Drosophila melanogaster: one gene and its partner. The protein of the gene in region 1 interacts with the protein of each later gene in a pairwise test. Each region holds a gene or a part of one and is shown in the gene's direction. Other genes may lie near its edges.

Region 1 (5,045 bases):
GAGCCACCCAAGAAGCTCCTGGCCGCCAAGATCCTGACTCCCGTGCTACCGGTGGCGCCACTCGTCCACTACGCCGCCCCCAAGGCCATTATCAAGCAGGAGCTGTCCGCCGGGAACTATGTCTCTGTATCCGGACCAACAGCACAGTACAAGTACTAAAAGGATCTAATGACTGACTTCAGCTGCATAAACCCATTAGGAAACCCGTCTTGACCCGGGAAAACTCACTGCCATACATCATAATTTAGTTACAATTAAGACAATTGAGTGTACATACAGACAGCTTACATTAACCTACAATAAAGATGCATCCCATTCAATCTGTTCGCAGAGGAACACAAAAACTTGGATTTTTTAATATAGGGAATATACTTAAAAGCTGGGTGAGGGTATTTTATTGATATAAAAAAAAAAATGAGTAGTTGAGTAGTGGTTGTGTTGCAAACATACTTATATAAGTGTGAAGATCAGTTAAGAAAAATATAAGCCAAGTGAAGAAAAACCACATTATGACAGTTCACAAGTGTGACACAAAAAAGTGAAAGATTATTAAAACCAAAAAAAAAAAGTGGTGAATGAAATGCTTGACTTAGTTCAACTCGCTTGTGTGTTTGGCTTCTTCAGTGAATTCGTATCATTATATTTGCGAATTGATGTCTCATAAAATGATGCGTCACGATACAGGTGGCTTCGATACTGTGATAAGCATAAACTAATGCTATCGCCGCCAGACGCGACATGGCCCATAGATGCCTCTAATCTCACGTAGCTGCTGCCACTTTGGGGGCGTCCAATTACCGGCGCAGTCGACGTCGTCGATGGCGATTCTATTGGATTTGGCTAACGCTCTGACCAATGCATCCATGGAGCATCAGTGCGAAAATGGTCGGCTGCCCGGAGACACGACAACTACTGGTCACATTGCTATTGACCCTTGGCTTCTGCCTGGGGGGAAGCTCAAAGGATACAGTTGCGGATGCGGATGCCAAGTGGATGGCTCCACTTAAGCAGTATGGGTATACGCCGCAGCATCTGAAGAACAAAGTGGAGCATGGTGAATTCACCACCTTCGAACTGGGCACCCCCAACTACCAGATTCTCAATCCCGAAGACGAACCGGAATACATAACTGCGGATCAACCGCATTATCAGGAGATGCTGAGGCGACTTACCAGTGGTCGTAGTAAAGCTGACACCATTGATGTGGAAATGGCAAGTCGCACGGAAACGGTTCGCGAGACTTCCGATCCGGGTCAATCTAAAAAACCATCTCAAATTCAAGTGCCAGTTAAACCGAAGACACAACTAAAACAAAATCGCTGGGAGAAACTAAGGAAGCGCAGCTCCATCGAAAAAAGACGTGACCACAAGGAAACCATGGAAACTGATGTGCGGGATGATCAAAGTTTCTTCCCTGATATTCAGGTTTACCCCGGCTTACCCTTCCAAAGTCGTGTAGCAAATCTAAATTAATCATAAATAAGTCACCTCATCCAAATGTGCAAATGGCTTTGATTTTAAGTGATCTCTGGTGATTCGGACAATGAATAAATACTAAAAGTATAAAAGTAAAAAAAATAAAGTACTTTTTTAAAGGACTACTTTAAATAAATCGGAGTTTTTTGCTATTTTTCTTTGTAAGGCTAAAATTGTTATGACTTTTACTCGCAATAATGAAAATAGTGATGTTGCTTATTTTTGTTAAAACAAAAAAGATTAAGAGTGCCCCCAATTTTAAGCAGAGTTTTCCCAAAATGTTGTTTAAATAATGAGCTAGACAAAATGTTAAATGGTCAAGATACTATTATTTAAATCAGTAAAGCTTTTGTACTCAATTTGTAGGAAGATAATTTAGGTATTGAGCAATATCGCTTACAAAAATACCATTATCCATAGTGTACGTGTAGACCTTGAGTTCCACAAAGAATTACAACCAAAAATTGATAAGTCAATCGACCCCAGACGTTAATATCAGATCTAGGCCGAGACCCAGAAATTATAAATCCCCCAAGCAGCTGGAAATTTTGTGCAGAACCGAAAAAATGATCATTGCGGTCGGAATGGTTTTGGCTATTTATAAAATTAAAGATTTCAGGAGGATTGTTTATTCTGGCTAATGAGAAACTGCCTAAAAAAAATGCATTATGAAGTTCGTCTTTCTCTTAAAGGTTATTGTCATGCCAAAGGTCATACATAAATATGTTTGCTATATGTTTTTGATTAAACAACTCTTGTCGCGAGCACTCCAAGCTATCGACGAGTGCGGGCAGAAATGCTTGAATGTGTATTACGGAAGCGGCGGCATCTGGCGATTGTCTTTACCCATTCCGGACCCATTCCGGACAACCACGCCCCATTCCGAGCCGTTTGGGGCGTTTGGAACGTGATGCGGTCAACGCTTCCGCGACCCATTTGCTCGGCGTTGTAAGAACGAGAAGAAGAAGCTCTCGGCCAGCGCAGCGTATTTAAGAGCTATTCAGCAAAATGCATGAAAGAGTTTCGCACGCGACCGACCAACAGCCAACAAGTGCCATCCATCGGCGATCCGGGACAGAAATTCCAGCAATTGTGGGGAAAGTGATCGAGCGAGCGAGGGAGAAATTCAGTTGAAAGGTAGGGTAACGGGGTCAATCGATTGGGAACGATTCCGGCGCAATTCTCTGACCCATTCTAAATTCAATATTCTCCCCCCTTCAGATGTTCGAACGCTGCAATTTATTATTTATGACCATGCTGATGGCATCGGCACTATTGACCCAAGCCCATTTCCCGGAATATTGTGCGGAATGTGAACAGGAGGTGTGGGAACAGGTGCCGTGCAGCGAGGTGCCCACAACGGTAGCGCCAACAACAACCGGAGGCTCTACGTTGAGCCCGCCCACAACCAGCGCCACCAGCCCGGGACCTATTTACCCAACAACAACCAGTGCCCCACCCACGCCCACGGATTACACTACACAGCCATCGGAGTACAAGAAGTGCTACTGCGAATGCAAGCTGGGCTGCAAGGAGTTCTGCCGCAAGGTGATCTCTTCTGAGCCCAAGCAGCCGCTCACCCAGATCTCATCCATTGGGGAGTATGCCCCAGGTGGCCAGGTGGAGTACACGCATGTCCATCAGCGCAAATACTTTCCCAAGTACGGAGGCGAATCCTATGGGGGATTGGTAGGACCAGTGGGCGGACCCAAGGCCTATAAGCCATATCCATTGGTCTACGAACAGGCGGCATCAGCTGCTTCACCGGCTTCCATTCCCTCGGTGGCTTCCTCACCAGCGGTGGCCAGCATAGCTGCTCCTAATTACACGCTGGAGGAGTTGGCCCAATTGCTTAGCACTGCGTATGGCACCAAGAAGGGCTACCCAGCTAGTGTGCCAACTCCGCCACGTATTCAGCTTCAGCCAGCTCCCTCCGTTTTCTATTCCCCGGTTCCAAGCTACAAAAAGCAAGTGGTTCCACTCGTGAGCAAAGTGGCGCCGGCACCCAAAATCTCCTCCAGCATTAAGTATGCCGCCTCAGCGGTTTCATCATCATCATCGGGCGTGTCGGTGGCCAAGATAAAGACTCCCTACGAGGAGAAGATTGTGGTGGCCACACCGTCTCCCATTTATGAGAGATCCACATCGTATCCTATTGTTGAAGCACCCAAGGAATACTCGGCGCCCCAGACGGAAGTCTATCCCGTTGTGCAGAGCCAAACGGAGTCGTATCCCAGCCACACACCCATATATCCAAGTCCCACGGAATCCTATCCCAGCCAAAAGGACTCCTACCCCAGCATCACAGAGTCATATCCCAGCCAAACTGAGTCCTATCAACCGCGTACGGAAGCCTATCCCGTACCCCAACCGGAGATCAAGCCATATGGTGGTCCCGATTCTGGACCCGATAAGCCATCGTCCACGTTCGATCTGGCCATCGATAATTATCTGAAGGACTTCGGATATGGCAACCAAGGAAGGGGATATGCGGACTACTAAAGTTCCATACGTTGTTTTTTAGGATTAGTCTAGGCTAGAATGTTTTCTAGGTATCCCATTATTTATTGATGTACTCCCCGTTTCCTGTTGACTACATGATGATTAAATAAATTATTAACAAAAAACTAAAGAATATTATGGTCTTAGTATTATAGTTGAAATAACTATTGCATACTTTTGGGCTATAAAGTAGCAATTTCCCCCCTTCGATTTTGTTAAAAGAATTAATGAAACAAGAGATAAAAATTTACAAGACTAATAAAATTATGAAAAAAAGCTTTTATAGTTCCTGAAATCTCGACTTTCATACGGACATAACCAGATCGACTTGGCTATTGATCCTATTGATCAAGAATATATATACTTTATACATAGTATAAAGTAGCGAGTTTGCTACTTTTCAAAAACGATCATTTATAATTCGGCTTGACGCATTTTATTATTTGTATTTAAAAAGTTTTCTTCATTTGCATTCATTTTTTTATATACTTTCTTGTTGTCGATAACATTGAATAAGATTTCATCTTACGCATTTCGCCAGCTTAATTCTGGTTTATGCTTGCCAATTTTGATAAGCATAGATATATACACAAATTAGATTCATAAATTTTCGTATGCAAATATATATGATTTATGCAATATGAATGTTTTCAAACAGCGCTTATTTAACCGTTGATCAAGGCGAATCCAAATTGTTTTTGGTATTTCCAATTTGTATTTTCACAAATTTTACGCACCAGCTCAAGTCTTTCATTTTCTAAGGTTTTACATTTGTGGAGCTTATTCATTTCAATTTTCTGTATGACACGATCTAGAAAGGATGTCGGATTGAGAAAATTTCTATAGGCACACACAAAAATAGCCATGGAAATCAGAAAGTTATATAAGTAGCTCACTATAATTGCACTTGATAGGATATAAATATTCAACAAACGAAGTAATAAGAACAATTTGCATAGTACACTTGCAAAGATGCGAATGTGCGGTTTTATTTATTTTCAATAATGTTTGCATATAAAATAACAAATAAAAAAGTGAAATCATAATATTTAGAACATATTCGTACA
Region 2 (4,946 bases), on another chromosome or scaffold:
GCTCCATCCGGAAGCTATATCAACGATTTCGATCCCAACATTGATCCATCGGTGCTGAATGAGCACGCGACGGCCGCTTTCAGATACTTCCATTCCCAGATTGAAGGTCGTTTGGAGTAAGTGCCTATTTACTATTATGAGTTAAGAACATTTTATTAATTTTAAAATTTTTGTGCAGTCTACTGTCCGAGCTGCGTCAAGTTCTCGGCTCTCTGACCCTCAGCGACTGGTTCAATCGTCCCGGTATTATTGAGGTTGGAGATAACTTTGATTCCCTGACCAGAGGACACGCCACGCAGCCCGAAGAGCTAACTGATATCAATTTTGACCGACAGGTGGGTACACAAATAACAAAATGAGACCACCTTTCTAACCTCTCAACCTTTCCTGGCTTAGATCAAGCACTTCCTGTTCAGAAGAAACATGCCCTTCGGTTCCGATCTGCGTTCCCTGGACATTCAGCGTAATCGCGATCACGGTCTGGCTTCCTACAATGACATGCGGGAATTCTGCGGACTGAGACGTGCCCACTCGTGGGAGGGATACGGTGATCTAATAAGTCCACCAATTCTGGAAAAACTTAAGTCGCTATACCCGAGCCACGAAGACGTGGATCTGACTGTGGGCGCCTCCTTGGAGGCGCATGTGGCCGGAGCTTTGGCTGGACCCACCTTCCTGTGTATCCTCACGGAACAATTCTACAGAACCAGAGTGGGCGATCGCTTCTTCTTCGAAAACGGAGACAAGCTCACTGGATTTACTCCTGGTAAAAAGAACATTTCTCCTCTGACTATTTTAAATATTAATTTATTTATGTCTAATTTCGTAGATCAACTGGAGGAGCTGAGGAAGGCCAGTATGGCTCGTTTGCTGTGCGACAATGGCAACCACATTTCATCCATGCAGCCCGAAGCTTTCCGGACTGTTTCCCATTCGTAAGTTTAAATTGATTAAATTGGTTATTTGGAAAGTAACTGAGCTCTGAAATTACAGGAATCCGATTATACCGTGCTCAAATATTCCACAAGTCGACCTCACCAAATGGATTGATCAAAAGCTATATGCCACTGTAGATCCGTCTCACTACGGAAAGAAGTAATCCGCTGCTGTGGGATCTATGCTTAACTAGTTGAATACAAATACATTTAGCTTAATCAATAACATAAACGTAAATGCAAAGCCCCTCCCCCCCCCCCCCCCCTTGTATGATAATGTCCCAAACTGATGTACAGAAATAAAGCCCTTACCATTTAAACAATCAGCTTTACTTTCAGTGACCTGATAATGTTTGTAAGATTTCACGGAAATGAAAAGAAGTCAAGGGCAAATCCCAATGCCATCCAGACCCGACCCCTTCTTATGCAATAGGCCCGGATAAAGAAATGCCGGGTCCGAAAACCTTTACACTTTCGTTGACTTTGGGATAGCTCCGATTCATCGGGGTTAATCATATGGAGACGCGCGACCGAGGTGTGAACAAGTTGATAGAAACGGCCAATTAAGAGACAAAACTCTTTTTTCTGCCATTTTTAAGTCATGGTTCATTCGAATCGTAAAGCGAAACAATCGGCAACAGAGAATGTGTTCTTTTTTGCATATGTCTTCTGTTTTCAAATGGAAGTTAACATATTAATACTTCAGAGGCGGTTCACTTTTGGATTGGACATAAATTTACATATATAAGTTTAGAGAGAACCCAGGATGATAGCATCATCGCGAACAGGTTTGCATATTTTCCGAGAGATTTGGCAAGCAGATTTCTGAATGGACATGATATAACGGTTCTAGTGAATCTAGATTAATGAAAGTGATTTAAACAAAGTGTGCATACAAGATTAAGAGTTCATAATGCGGTATAAAAGTGATCCGTCCGCCGGAGAAAGGCAGCAGATACCATTTCGCCATGAGGCTGTTCGCAGTGATTTTTTGGATAGGTAAGGAATATGATTCAAATAGGATGGATCTGATTTCTAATTGGGATTCATTTCCTTTCCAGGCTGGGCCTTTGGCCTAGCGAATTCCAAGAACCCGAGTGCCGAGACGGGCAGACTGATAGCATCTCTACAAGCTGCTCCGGCTCCGGCGCCAGCACAAAGTGTGATCTACAAGCTGCCACCACAGCACTACTATCCGCCACCACCGCCGCCGCCTCCGCCTCCGCCACAGCACTGCAATTGCCCGCCAGGTCCACCGGGGCCTCCTGGACCGCCGGGCTTACCAGGAACGCCTGGTCCGCAAGGTCCCAAGGGACACACTGGGTCCAAGGGCGAGCGAGGAGAGAAGGGAGAACGCGGTCACTACGGACTACCAGGCCAACCAGGTGAACCGGGACCTATTGGTCCACCGGGACTACCAGGCCCACCCGGTCACAAGTCGGGACATGGTCACCATGATCATCATGATCACCACCATCATCATCCAGCGCCACCGCCACCACCTCCACCTCCGCCTCCGCCGCCTCCACCACCACCACCACCACACTCACACCCGCATTCACATCATCCCCACCCGCCGATCGTGACGCCACCAATTATAGTTCCCATACCATTGCCACCGCAGAAAGGTGAACATGGTCACCATCATCACCACAAGGGATCCAAAGGTCCACCCGGACCTCCAGGCCCACCAGGTAAGAGAAAATCGTTACTCATATATATCACAACGCTCTAACAGTGAAAATATTGAAAGGATATATTATAAGTCATTTTCCAAAATTTTACTGAGTATTTAATCTCTTGCAGGAACGGGACCACCGGGTCCTCCAGGACCTCCAGGCACTACGTATCCACAACCCCCACCACCACCACCACCACCGCCACCTCCACCACCATCGTACCCATACCCACCGTACCCGTATCCACCACCTGGTCCTTATCCGGGACCATGGATTCCTCTGCCAGTGCCAGTGCCCTGGCCCTCAAAGGGACATAAGGGGGATAAAGGTCACAAAGGAGGTCATAAGGGAGACAAGGGCGGACACCACCATCACTATTATCCACCAGGACACGATAAGGGAGGCTACTATCCGTATCCACCCCACGGTGGCCATGGAGGCCATCACCATCCAGGCCACAATTATCCAGGCCCCTATCCGCCACCATATCCACCTCACCATCCACATGATGGCGGAGACAAGGGTTATCACCATTATCCACCCCACAATCACGGAGGGCACAATCACGGGGGACACAACAACCATCATCCACCTCACAATGGAGAGCACAACCATAATCATCCCCCTCACAATCACGGAGGACATGGCCACCATCATCCCTCACACAATCACGGAGGGCAGGACCCACATAATACACACCCCCACACTGGTACACACGGAAATGGAGGACACAGCCAAACTTCACACCACCAGCACCCCCATCATCATCAACCAAAACCCACTAAGCCAGAGGGTAGTGGCGAGCAAACTCCACGGGATGATCTGGACTTGCTAGATGAAAATGTGGAGATTGTCGAAAACATAATTGATGAAAATGATAACGAAAATAATTTCATGGAGGGCGAGGAGGAAATGTCCAATGAGCCCAATGACTTGGAGACGGAACCCGAGGATGCGGACTACGGCCTTGAATATGCAGATAACACAGTGGAGAATCCCGAATCTCCGAGTGGCGCTGAAGAAATCGATGATGAGGATTCAAGCTATATGGTACCAGAAGGAGATGATGCGATGGAAGAGGACCATATGATGGAGGACCAGATGGACCCAGTGAATATGATGGAGGATAACGCACCTATGGATGGAGATGCAATTGAGGAGCGAACCAACAAAGGTCCGATTATCCTGTCAATTGGAACTCCTCGAAATCCCTTTCACATTTACGCCTATGAACAGTATAATATATAAATAAGCCAACACCACGAGAAAATAAAAAAATAACATTAAAATATGAGTCTTTTATGGGTTTTCTAACAATTTAAAAATACTACTTTTTGGGTTTCATTTAGAGATTTTGATACAGTTAATAAAATTTAAATGTTTAATAATAAACAAAAGCAGTGAACCTCTGTAGATTTCCGTATTAATAAGATCATCTCGCAGAATTCGTATAGCAAAAAATTTAAATGTATAAACAATAAACTGCGTTATTGTTAGCTGTCAAAATAGTTCCGTTGTTCTTGGAAATGTCTGCGGCTTTGTTAGATTTTCTATAAAATAACAATGGACAAAGATATGAAAAAAGTGAAATCATATTGAAATAAGCTATTAATTCAATGACAATCGAATGAAATTGCCAACTCAAATCATTTATCAAAATACAATGGTAAATTGTTGAATCTTATCAGCTAGGCAAGTAAAATTGTTTGTAATATATGTATTTAACTTTTGGCAGATATGAAATTAATAAGTTCAAATGTTTTCAGGTATTAGGTTGATTAAATTCATTAATAAATTTCTTTGTCCATAAATTAGTTTTGTACGACTTTTTAAAGCATGCGTGCGTCACGTTGATCCAATGCCTTAAAGTCTTGAAGAATTTTGAACGTCATATTAAATTTCACTATTTAAAAGCAATTTGTATGATAACGATAATGAAGAAGATAAGTCAGATCGTCCCATTTTTGCGGTATTCTTATTTTATTGCCCCGTAAATAAAACAATGGGGGCTGAAATGGAACAATCAATGCCGACATGGAACCAAATAAATAACTAAAGAAAGTTAATAAAACTTGTGCCATAATATACATTTTAATTCTTAAATAATAACCAAACATTTAAGCCCTAATTGTGGTAATCAATTTAATAATAGTATTAGCACATCGACAAAATGGAATAAATCATTTTTCTTGAGCCTCATCGAATTCCATGCGTGTGTATCTGGACCAATCTTCGGTTAAATTTATGCGAAATCATTAGGCTGATGAGATCTGAGATTTGCGATTTACATTTTACGTGTTTCGCATTAACCCATTAAAGTCTAGACCAACTG

Evidence for each region.
Region 2: the proteins of CG13114 (region 1) and CG5225 interact in a two-hybrid assay, tested with the Drosophila melanogaster proteins (one large-scale study listed by BioGRID).

What each region holds. Positions count from the first base shown.
Region 1 is NT_033779.5:9,543,320-9,548,364, forward strand, and holds CG13114 (uncharacterized protein), read left to right. Parts: upstream 1-2,491; 5' UTR 2,492-2,613; intron 2,614-2,697; coding exon 2,698-3,978; 3' UTR 3,979-4,105; downstream 4,106-5,045. Other genes in the region: Cpr30B (cuticular protein 30B), read left to right, coding at 1-159; CG13113 (uncharacterized protein), read left to right, coding at 856-1,473.
Region 2 is NT_033777.3:17,026,803-17,031,748, forward strand, and holds CG5225 (uncharacterized protein), read left to right. Parts: upstream 1-1,890; 5' UTR 1,891-1,903; coding exon 1,904-1,934; intron 1,935-1,996; coding exon 1,997-2,629; intron 2,630-2,741; coding exon 2,742-3,862; 3' UTR 3,863-3,899; downstream 3,900-4,946. Other genes in the region: Pxd (peroxidase), read left to right, coding at 1-116, 179-335, 397-766, 830-935, 994-1,099.